Linked DNA regions of Oryzias latipes. The protein of the gene in region 1 binds, or shares a complex with, the protein of each later gene. Links are inferred from orthologs where the notes say so. Each region holds a gene or a part of one and is shown on either strand. Other genes may lie near its edges. The genes, in order: thoc3, thoc7 and thoc6.

Evidence for each region.
Region 2: thoc3 (region 1) and thoc7 share a complex: the UniProt entries of both Homo sapiens proteins name them as parts of the transcription/export (TREX) complex. The link is inferred for Oryzias latipes from reciprocal best matches to the Homo sapiens genes THOC3 and THOC7.
Region 3: thoc3 (region 1) and thoc6 share a complex: the UniProt entries of both Homo sapiens proteins name them as parts of the transcription/export (TREX) complex. The link is inferred for Oryzias latipes from reciprocal best matches to the Homo sapiens genes THOC3 and THOC6.

The regions. Positions count from the first base shown.
Region 1 is NC_019868.2:29,382,678-29,386,055, forward strand, and holds thoc3 (THO complex subunit 3), read right to left. Parts: upstream 2,580-3,378; 5' UTR 2,545-2,579; coding exon 2,365-2,544; intron 1,844-2,364; coding exon 1,687-1,843; intron 1,613-1,686; coding exon 1,408-1,612; intron 1,331-1,407; coding exon 1,169-1,330; intron 1,103-1,168; coding exon 1,002-1,102; intron 918-1,001; coding exon 754-917; 3' UTR 614-753; downstream 1-613. UniProt on the Homo sapiens protein: Component of the THO subcomplex of the TREX complex which is thought to couple mRNA transcription, processing and nuclear export, and which specifically associates with spliced mRNA and not with unspliced pre-mRNA.
Region 2 is NC_019863.2:16,703,299-16,707,054, reverse strand, and holds thoc7 (THO complex subunit 7 homolog), read right to left. Parts: upstream 2,493-3,756; 5' UTR 2,473-2,492; coding exon 2,385-2,472; intron 2,161-2,384; coding exon 2,040-2,160; intron 1,614-2,039; coding exon 1,486-1,613; intron 1,394-1,485; coding exon 1,307-1,393; intron 1,213-1,306; coding exon 1,155-1,212; intron 1,066-1,154; coding exon 999-1,065; intron 896-998; coding exon 826-895; exon of another isoform or gene 749-825; coding exon 687-748; 3' UTR 591-686; downstream 1-590. Other genes in the region: interferon-induced GTP-binding protein Mx, read left to right, coding at 56-280. UniProt on the Homo sapiens protein: Component of the THO subcomplex of the TREX complex which is thought to couple mRNA transcription, processing and nuclear export, and which specifically associates with spliced mRNA and not with unspliced pre-mRNA.
Region 3 is NC_019866.2:289,653-293,408, forward strand, and holds the start of thoc6 (THO complex subunit 6 homolog), read right to left. Parts: upstream 2,792-3,756; 5' UTR 2,777-2,791; coding exon 2,639-2,776; intron 1,858-2,638; coding exon 1,766-1,857; intron 1,689-1,765; coding exon 1,624-1,688; intron 1,521-1,623; coding exon 1,417-1,520; intron 1,347-1,416; coding exon 1,309-1,346; intron 1-1,308. UniProt on the Homo sapiens protein: Component of the THO subcomplex of the TREX complex which is thought to couple mRNA transcription, processing and nuclear export, and which specifically associates with spliced mRNA and not with unspliced pre-mRNA.

The DNA.
Region 1 (3,378 bases):
CTAACTTAACTTTTATTGAATCTTTTAGAAAAAAAACAGCTGCAGTTTCCAGCTTTTTCTGCAACAATTATCTCAAAAATGCATGTGAGATTGTGGAGGGGCTGTAGATCAATACAGACTATGAGTTTATCCTTCTTTTTTAAAATTTTTGGATGCTGGTGTGCCGCGGGATTTTTTTTAAGGTTAAAGTGTGCCGTGGCTCAGAAAAGGTTGAAAAACACTGATCTAGACCCACCGACAGTGCTCTGAATCTTTTTTCTTCAATGATTTGTGATCTTCACTGGTGTCCATGGATTACATGAAATCTTTCCACCTTTATCCACCTTTGTCATGGTAGGGAGAACATGTCAATGGGAGGGGGGGTCATCTAAGATAGCACAAGGGTTAATTATGGTCAAAATAAAGGACCAAATCCGTGAAATTCAACCCACACGTATAACTGAAGTGTCCCAGCACAGGAGGAACTGTTTTTCTATCTATAGTATTTTCTCCAGCATCTTACTCCGATACACATTTCTATAATTTATCATTTTAGTCAAATACTAAAATATTTATTCCGATAGTTGCAGCTCAGTTCAAGCATAAGTTAAACTCAATGTAAAATCAGAAACAGTTTTAAGTTTTTCTGCAGGTTAAAAATGATTTTATTATAAAAAAGTATTTTACAGCTGTACAGTACAAAATAAAAGGGGGTGAGTGAGGAGCTCCCTCTGCTGGAGACGGGACGTTACTGCAGAGCGCCCGCAGCCCCCCTTAGGAGTCGTTGGGAAGGCCAAAGAGCTTGACCGTCCCCGCCTCGCGGTTGTTGTCGTACTTGCCCTCCTTGTCGTCGCAGGCGTAGGCCAGCAGGGGTCTCTTTGGGTGCCAGGCGACGGTGAAGGTGGGGGAGTCACACTGCACCTCCCACAGCTTCTCCCCTGTAGGGTGGAGGAGAGATGGGCTTTGAGTGACAGCCGAGTGGGCGGGATCTTCACCGCCTGTGCGGCTGCAGGTTTACTGACCCGTTTCCACCTCCGCGATGTCGATGAAGTGATCCTCCGACGCTGAAGCCAACATCTTGCCGTCGTGGCTGAAGCTCAGCGTCCTCACCGGCCAGTCCAGCCTGCAGCAGAGCAGAGACTCGAACAAAGCTCGCAGCAAACGCCGGACCCTCGGCGGCTCAACCCACCTGGAGAAGCAGCGCACGCACACCAGCTCCTCCACGTCCCACAGGCTGACCAGCGCGTCGGCGCTTCCCGTGGCGAAGTACTTCCCCGTGGGGTCGAACTTGATGCAGATGCAGTTGGACGGGTGAGCGTTGATGGACTGGATGGGCTTCAGCTCCGGGTAACTGCGCAGCACCAGAACCTGTTTTTATTTCAATGTGACCGGTGGGCGCGGGTCGGCATGCGACAGTGGCGCTCTGACCTCAGGATGTTGATGCAGCCGTTGCCGTTGGTCAGGAAGAACATGTCGTTGTCGTTGTTCCAGGAGATCTCGTTCACCTCGAACTTGAACTGCTCCTCCGCCCTGGAGCGGTGCGTCTTTGCGTCGATGAAGGTCACCACGTCGTCCTTGTTCCCGACGGCGATGGTCTGGCCGTCTGGACTCCAGCAGATGTTGATGTTTTCACCTGGAAACAAAGTCAGTTCAGACGTTAAAACGTTCCTCGACATCGTTCCGGGTCTTCAGATCCGTCCCGGTTACCCTTTGTGTTTACGGTGGCGATGCACTTGGTGGTGCGGACGTCCCAGATGCGGATGGTTTTGTCTCCGGACGCCGTAACAAACAGGTCCGGGTTGTTGGGATGCCAGCACAGCTGATCCACGCTGTCGCCGTGACCCCTGTAGTTGTTGTCCTTGACCTGGGGAGAAGACGCACTTCAGTGGTTGGTGGCCATTAAACGTTTAGTACCGTTCTAAAACGGTATGAGTTAACATTTATGCTGCAGTGGGTCTTCCTCCTCCACCGCTGAAGTCTTTGTCCAACACAGAAACATGAAAGTTGGAAGACTTCAGCTTCCTGATGCAAACTCAGAGTCAGGATTCAAACCCAGAACCTCACTAGCTTCAGAACCTCAGATGTGCATCAACTAAGATGATGGATTAAAGAAGCTGACGGAACATTTCATGACTTGAGGTGAATATTTTCCCCTTCAAGTAACTCCCAGCTGGAAACATCAGCTGCTTCTTTTTTTTTAATAGTTTTTATTATTACTTTAGTTTTATTTTGACTTTTTAAGGGCGATCCACAGTGACAAAACACCGCCTTCTCCTCTGAATCCATCACTTCTCTGTTTTTAAATAACCTTCCAAGGAGTTTGGCACGCGCGTCTGTCTTTGTGCTAAAGCTAGCATGCTAGCAGAAAACGAGCCGGTTTCTCACCAAGCGGTCCTTTTCCAGGACGAAAACGCTCGCGGTTTTGTCGAAAGACCCGGACGCCAGCCTCCGGCCGTCGCAGCTCCACGCCACCGAGTGAACTTTCGCCGAATGAGCCGGAAACTCCCGACTTTTGCTGTTATTTCTGAAGCTCTCCTGCATCTCCTGATAGTACTGCGACGCCATCTTGGTCCCACTGTGTGACGTATGGTTTTTAGAGGAGAGCGCGAGGGCCCCCTGCTGGCCGGAGGACCGCGCGTGCAGTTTACTCATCGACCAGTGAGTTGACGCGTTACTGAAGACAGATCTTTGAACTATTGTTACTTTTTGGGAAATTCTTGGATCAACTGGAATTATGGGAAAAGACTTTTGAAAATAGAAAAACCAGATGATCCAGATAATTTCCCCATTGATAATAAATAAATAAAGATAAAATATTTATTATTTAAGATAATTAATCTTATCTTTACAGGCATTAAACATAGACATATTCTCATATTTTTGGAGCATTTTGGAACTAAAGTGTCACAAAGAAATGACAGTATTCTTCAAATAAAACACTTTTTGTGTCACTGACAGGATTTTTCTTTTCCCTGATTTTAGATTCCAGAGATGAAAGAAAATTGCAAAGGTGGTGCTGACATCATCAGGTCAAAAATAACTAATACTTCATATGATATGTGCTTTTATTTAGTACAAACAAATAAGGCAGACCGTAAAATAATCTGTAAAATGTAGACGTGTTTTAAAAAGTGACTTCATTACTTACTTCTGCTAATAATTCACCAATGAAAAAGACAAAGACTGTTTGGTTTGATCTGAACTGCAGTTTATTTCAGGTGTGAAAATTCCGGTTTAAAAACATGGAAACTGGATGCAGAAAATCAGTGTGAGGGTTCAATTCCCCCATCAGAGGGGGGGGGGGGGGGGGGGGGGGGGGGGGGGGGGCGGGTCAAAGCTGCAGGGTTTTACCTGCACAGGTGATCTCACTCTGACTGAGGTTTTCCAGCAGCTTCTAGG
Region 2 (3,756 bases), on another chromosome or scaffold:
TAAATGTATGCATAGCTGCTATGGCTTCTATCTTTTATTCCACATTATCCTGCAGATTGCTGGCATGCGTCTAGCTGATCAAATCCCCCTGGTGATCCGTTATGAAATGCTGCAACAATCAGCCAGCCAGCTCCAGAGAGAGATGCTGCAGATGATTCAGGACAAGGAGAACTTGGATTTCCTGCTGAAGGAGGACTTTGACATCGGCAGTAAGAGGGCTACTTTGCAGAATCGCCTTAAGCGCCTTTTGCAGGCCCGTGCATACCTAGTAGAGTTCTAAAAACTTTGAAGGATCTGTTTTCTGCATCTCCAAATTACATGTTAGTGTAAATGTTCAGTTGTTGTGTTTGGGTAGTCCAGTAGAATCTGCTGTTTCTAACAGGAATGATTATCTTACAGCAGCAAAAGTCATTATATGGGCACACAGATGTTTTCCTTTTATATATTGTTATAATCACCTCGAGTGTGGAGCATGTTTTTATGTTCATTGTTTTATTTGGGCATATATATAGAGGGAAATTATTATCAGTCTGTGAACTTTGATTTTTTTATTTTTATTTGAAACAATAAAAGGGAAAACCAGACAGAGCGACAGAATCAAGAGAATTTTATTCAAAAATACATACGAAAAGCATTCTGTCTCACAAACCCAAACTCATTTAAGAACATTTCATTCTGTTCCACTGTTATTCACTGTTCCCTGCAGGGCTCTCTTGACTGGCATCTTCAATATCTGACTTCTCATCATCTAAAAGAAGACAAATTTTGAGTTTAACTTTTTGAAACAATTTTAAAATCAGTTGGCATTAAGAATAAAGTGCTCACTCTCAAGTGTCTGTTGTAGCTCCTGAATGGTGGTAAGAAGAACGTGGAACTGCTTCTTCCTCAACTCCAACTATGGTGGAACAGTAAATTTGATAGAAAAAAACAACAACTTTAAAATAAATCAAATCATCAGCGAAATACACAGAAGCTGCATAAATTCTGTTTGGATATACCTTTGCATCCACATTCTCTTTGATGTGGGACAGTTGTTGGAGCTCTTTGTCAAGCGCCTCTAGCTGCCTGAAAGAAAATAAATAAATAAAAATGAAGCAAAACTGTTGTACGCTGTTTACAAGCAATCGAAAATCTGAATTAACGGAGCCACTTACTTGAGTGTTTCATGCCTATCTGGATGCTGCTGGATTACCTTGGCTAATGCATCATATTCTGGAAAAAATACAAACATATTTATAATACTCCAAGGATGTTATTGAAAAAGGACAATAAATAAAATATGCAATCCATATCAAAATATCCTTGCCTTGGCGATTTTTTCGTATCCTCTTTGCCCTCTGAATATCTTTTTTGCATTCTGCAATCTTCTCATGTGCAGATGTGATGTTTTGTTCTGCAATGGGGGGAGGGTGGGGGGGGGGGTATATAGATGAAATCTAATATTGTAAACAGAAATGCTTCCAGACGAGAGCAATAAAACCTCACCTATATTTGAATAGATCTTCTCATAGTTTTCCATTTCTCTAAGATTCATGTCATAAACCATCAACGTCTTTCCCATGGAAAACTCACACTGAGCCAGAGTGCCCAACATCCGCTGGTACTGTGTGAATCTACACGCAAACACAAGACCACAAGGAATTAAAGTGAGATTTTTTGTTGCATATTTAACAAGGAAGACACCATTCTACTCTTCGGGTATATAAAAACACATCATGGAAATGTATAGAAACAGCCTTTTGAAATGCATGGTCAGAGTTGAAACATTGTGCTGTGTGTCACACTCTGCTTGCCATAGATTGTAGAGAAGACAGTTACTCTTCTCCTTGGGTAAGTATAACTGCATGCAACTGAGACCCGTTAACCTTCTATGGAGTTTGATAAACTAGCTTGGAATTGCCTGTACACACAACGTAAGAACTAACTAATGTGACTTTTCTTTCGCAAGAAGAGTTGTTCGTAAATGCTAAATCACATTAAAATCTGGAAAGTAAATCTTCTGATGCGTCAGCTCAGACTCAGATTCATTCAGCACTGACCCTTCCTCCGGAGTCCCGGGCGAGTTGCACCATTTAGTGAAGCTTTTAAGCAGCAGGTTGATCCGGCGGTCATCTCCGGCTCCGTCGCCATCAATAAGAAGACGTTTCCGAATGACTTCATCTTTAACAGAAACGAAAGAGACAAGATAAACTATAGGCTAGATTGCAACCTGCTAATCTGAGCTAGCACTGCAGGGCAATAAATTAGCTGCACAGTTCTCCCAACTGATTGCGTAAACACTGCTACATTCTAGAAATAAGCTATTGTATACAATAACTTAACACATAAACACTTTATTTATTTTTAATAAAACTTTATATTAAACGAAGTAACCACCAAATTACCATCTGTTACGGCCCCCATGTTTGCAATGAGCAATACTATTTCCGGTAGAGCAAGATTCTTTTTCCAGGTTAAAATCAGCGGTTTCATTTTCTACTGCCCCCTATTGGTGGACATTCAATGTGGCAATTTTTTTCCCACATTTTTGTGCTTTTTAGACTCAACAGCAAAATTGAACTTTTATTATATTGCAGAATATTATTGGACTAAAAACCAATGACAGTTTAGAATACAATTGATTTTGTTTTATTTAACATTTTGCTTTTAAAAATGTCAGCTTACATTGTAGCATTACACATTGAATTTTAAATTCTAAAATGCATTTTTTAGATTGAATGCTTAAATTGCAAGCTGAATTATCAATCGAGAATGGCACATTACATATTTTGTTTTACCATTAAACCATTCATTTTTACCATGTAGCATTTAGATATTAAAATAATTGAATTATGAAAGTTTTATCATTTTCTTTCTATTAAAATATTAACTTCCTTTACTTTTGACAGCAGCATATATAGGTTCCTTTCAAACGAAATAAACCTCATGTCAAATTAAATCCTCCAACAGACTCACTTGAATAAAACATGTAAGAAAGTCAGGTCAAACATAGACTTTTCTATCAGTCAGACTTTGCTGCATATTCGTTCTTTTCTACTTTTATAGTCATATATTAACATGACAACATTGGAGCAGAATCCAAATAAAAGAAAGTTTAATAAATAAATTAAAAAAAAAAAAAAACAACCCCAAAACATTATTAGTAACTCAAATCGTTAGCGTTTTTTTTTCAAAACCAAAGAGCCACAATGGAATCATAAAGGAGCTGCATGTAACTCCGGAGCCTCAGGTTGCAGACCTCTGTTCTATAAGAACCTTTAGCTACTAAGTGGCTATTGAGGACAAAGATTTCTATCTAGCTTTAATTTCACCATTTATAATAATTCATAAATAGTAATGTTACTGGTACGGTTATAGGTACAATACCTGCTTCAACTATAGATTTAAACAGGTTTTCATTTGGCCAACATATTTTCTTGGTCACCACTTCCTCGTTTTTTTTCTGACAGATCAATTCAGGTCTGATTTCATGTTTGTTCCTACACCTTAGAAAATTACAATGAAACTTGTTTGAAACTTAATGTGCTCTATTTCTCACCAGAACACCAGCCGTGTGGGCAAATAGAGTTTTGTTATTTAACAAAGGTTCACGCGTATATTAGATTTACAGGAAAACAGTACAAACTTTCAGCAGTTTGCCAATTAGAAATCAGAGGTTAACATATTCATGCCTAGATTTAACCAAACATTTTAAGTGGGAGTGTGTTATGGTTTTGAAAATACAAGCAAAGCACCTTTTTTAACAATCTCAAAAAG
Region 3 (3,756 bases), on another chromosome or scaffold:
GCGTCTGTGTGTGTGCGTCTGTGTGTGTGCGTCTGTGTGTGGGTCTGTGTGTGCGTCTATGTGTGCGTCTATGTGTGCGTCTGTGTGTGCGCGTCTGTGTGTGCGCGTCTGTGTGTGCGCGTCTGTGTGTGCGCGTCTGTGTGTGCGCGTCTGTGTGTGCGCGTCTGTATGTGCGTCTGTGTATGTGCGTCTGTGTGTGCGTCTGGGTGTGCGTCTGGGTGTGCGTCTCTGTGTGTGCATCTGTGTGTGTGCGTCTGTGTGTGCGCGTCTGTGTGTGCGTCTATGTGTGCGTCTGTGTGTGTGCGTCTGTGTGTGTGCGTCTGTGTGTGTGCGTCTGTGTGTGTGCGTCTGTGTGTGTGTGCGTCTGTGTGTGTGTGCGTCTGTGTGTGCGTCTGTGTGTGCGTCTGTGTGCGCGTCTGTGTGTGTGCGTCTGTGTGTGTGCGTCTGTGTGTCTGTGTGTGCGTCTGTGTGTGCGTCTGTGTGTGTGCGTCTCTGTGTGCGTCTCTGTGTGCGTCTCTGTGTGCGTCTCTGTGTGCGTCTCTGTGTGTGCGTCTCTGTGTGTGCGTCTCTGTGTGTGCGTCTCTGTGTGTGCGTCTGTGTGTGCGTCTGTGTGGGTGCGTCTCTGTGTGGGTGCGTCTGTGTGGGTGCGTCTCTGTGTGCGTCTGTGTGTGTGCGTCTGTGTGGGTGCGTCTGTGTGTGCGTCTGTGTGTGTGCGTCTGTGTGGGTGCGTCTGTGTGGGTGCGTCTGTGTGGGTGCGTCTCTGTGTGCGTCTCTGTGTGCGTCTCTGTGTGCGTCTCTGTGTGCGTCTCTGTGTGCGTCTGTGTGTGCGTCTGTGTGTGTGCGTCTGTGTGTGCGTCTGTGTGTGCGTCTCTTTGTGTGCGTCTCTTTGTGTGCGTCTGTGTGGGTGCGTCTGTGTGTGTGCGTCTGTGTGTGCGTCTGTGTGTGCGTCTGTGTGTGCGTCTCTGTGTGCGTCTCTGTGTGCGTCTCTGTGTGCGTCTCTGTGTGCGTCTCTGTGTGCGTCTGTGTGTGCGTCTGTGTGTGCGTCTGTGTGTGCGTCTGTGTGTGCGTCTCTTTGTGTGCGTCTGTGTGTGTGCGTCTGTGTGTGCGTCTCTTTGTGTGCGTCTGTGTGTGTGCGTCTGTGTGTGTGCGTCTGTGTGTGCGTCTCTTTGTGTGCGTCTGTGTGTGTGTGTCTATGTGTGTGTGCGTCTCTGTGTGTGTCTGTGTGTGTCTGTGTGTGCGTCTCTTCGTGTGCGTCTGTGTGTGCGTCTCTTTGTGTGTCTGTGTGTGTCTGTGTGTGCGTGTTCTCACCTGTAAGTGGGTCTCTTGCTCCACAGGGGCTTTACGCTCTGAGGACAAAGGGCAGGAGGTCACCTGGAGGTCCAGGAGGACTGGGGTTCTGGTTCCGAGGAGCCTCACCTTCTTGCTGAGCTCGGTCCAGCTCCAGGCGCTGACCTCGCCGTTTCCAGCACTCAGCAGGACGCCGTCCGCCGACAGAAGGCTGAAGACTGGACCCTCGTGAGCTGCAGGACGAGACCCAACGTTCAACTAGAACCTTCTGCCGGACCCGGACCACGATCACCGGAAGAACCTTCTCCTGGACCCGGTCCAGCCGGACGGACTCACCTGTGAATGTCAGGACCGGTTTGAGGCTGGCGGCACCGGCATCTGGGCTGAGAGCTGCTGACAAACTGGAGACGGAGACACAGCTGAGAGCGCCGCCGTGCGCGCCCGCCCGCCCGTGCACGGCGGCGCTCGTTTCGCTCACCTGAACAGGCCGATCTCCCCGTAGTTGTTCCCGGCCGCCAGGAAGCGTCCGCAGGGAGAGAAGCTCTGAGAGAAGACGGACATGTGGAGCAGCTGGGGGCGGAACCAGAGTCCGGTTAGAACATCCAGAACAGCAGCTACTCATCCAGAACTTTGGTTCTTTTCTCAGTCACATTGAATCGGAACCAGACCGTGGTCTGGTGAAGTGCGGTCCGGCCAGCCGTCACTGAGTTTTAGCGTAAAATGTTTACATCCTGGTTTCTGGTCCACAAAGACGGTAAAGCGCTAATATCAGCCGAGTTATTTGATGTACAAATGTATTCATTAGATTGCATGTCTGGTCATTCAGCTCGTTCTAAGGTGACTGTCGGTGGATTATTGTTGGTTATGATGTTCATGACCATCACAGCCATATGGAGCTTTATAAACATGTTATACTATGGACGAGGAAGCCTGAGTGGGACTCGAACCTGAATTTCTCTCCAGTTAATTAGCGCTTTACCGGGACGCGTGTACCGTGAAGCATGATGTAACACCCCCCCCCCCTCCCCCCCAGGGGATGTGTCATAAATAAAGCCTCCATTAATATCAGTTTGCTGCGTTTGGCTGAAGTCGCTGCGGTTTTTCTACCAAATGTTTTTACTGATGTTCTGTTCAGAATGAAGGTTCTGGATCAGGTATTGGACTTTGTGGTTCTGTGGCTCCGTATTCCTTTACGGTTTATTCGCCAGCGGAAACGGAACCTGAGCGGGGTTCGGATGATGAAGCCGTCTGTCTGAGTCTCCTCCTCCGTGGACGGACTTCAGGCTCGGTTCGATAAAAGTGACACCGGGATTCTGTGCGCGCGAACCGAGTCCGTGTTCGGGTAACTCACCTCGACCGGTCCCATCCTGCCGCCGACCTGGAACCCCCAGAACCGAACAACACTGAACTTCCAGACAATAAACCTAGCGGCGCACAAGGCGCGAAAACCTCTGGCTCGAGAATATGACGTCACAGGAACGCACGGCATGCTGGGAGTTGTAGTGGTGTGACAAAGATTTCTGACCTGATGGCTCAGCAGGAACAGTTGAGCTTTTTCTAATCAGCTGCTGTGTGCGTGTGTGTGTGTGTGAGTGTGTGTGTGGGTGGGTGTGTGCGTGAGTGTGGGTGTGCGTGAGTGTGTGTGCGTGAGTGTGTGTACTTAGAAGGATTTTATTGATTCAACAGCTGAACCTGCAACCTCTGACAGATCCATTTGATCCAGTTTCTTACCGACAAAACCGAGTCAGAGCCGCAAAATCTCAGTACTCCACAAACGGTTCTGCTGCAGCAGAAGATCAGAACCTGAGCTTTAAACTGTTTCAAATATTGGGATTGAAAGCATTGGTTAGGAAGTTCACACGGACTCCACAAAGTATGTCTGCTTTCTTTTATTTTTTTCTTCAACACCAACAAAGGCTACAAATACAAAAAAGCCTTTTTACCCGTCTCAAACCCTGACCCACTTCTCTGCACACATTAAGCGTCTCATAGAAAAGACATAAATGCTGCTGTGGAGAAGGTCCACAGGTTCCTGGGGGGGCACCTCACTAACCACCTGTCCTCCTCCACCAACTCCACATCAAAAAGCACAACACCACAAACACACAACAACACCACAGAAACACAACATCAACACTGCAAACACACAACACCAATACCACAAACCCACAACAACATCAACACAACAAACACACAACAACACCACAGAAACACAACATCAACACCACAAACACACAACAACATCAACACAACAAACACACAACAACATCAACACAACAAACACACAACAACACCACAGAAACACAACATCAACACCACAAATACACAACAACATCAACACAACAAACACACAACAACATCAACACTGCAAACACACAACACCAATACCACAAACCCACAACAACATCAACACAACAAACACACAACAAAACCACAGAAACACAACATCAACACCACAAACACACAACA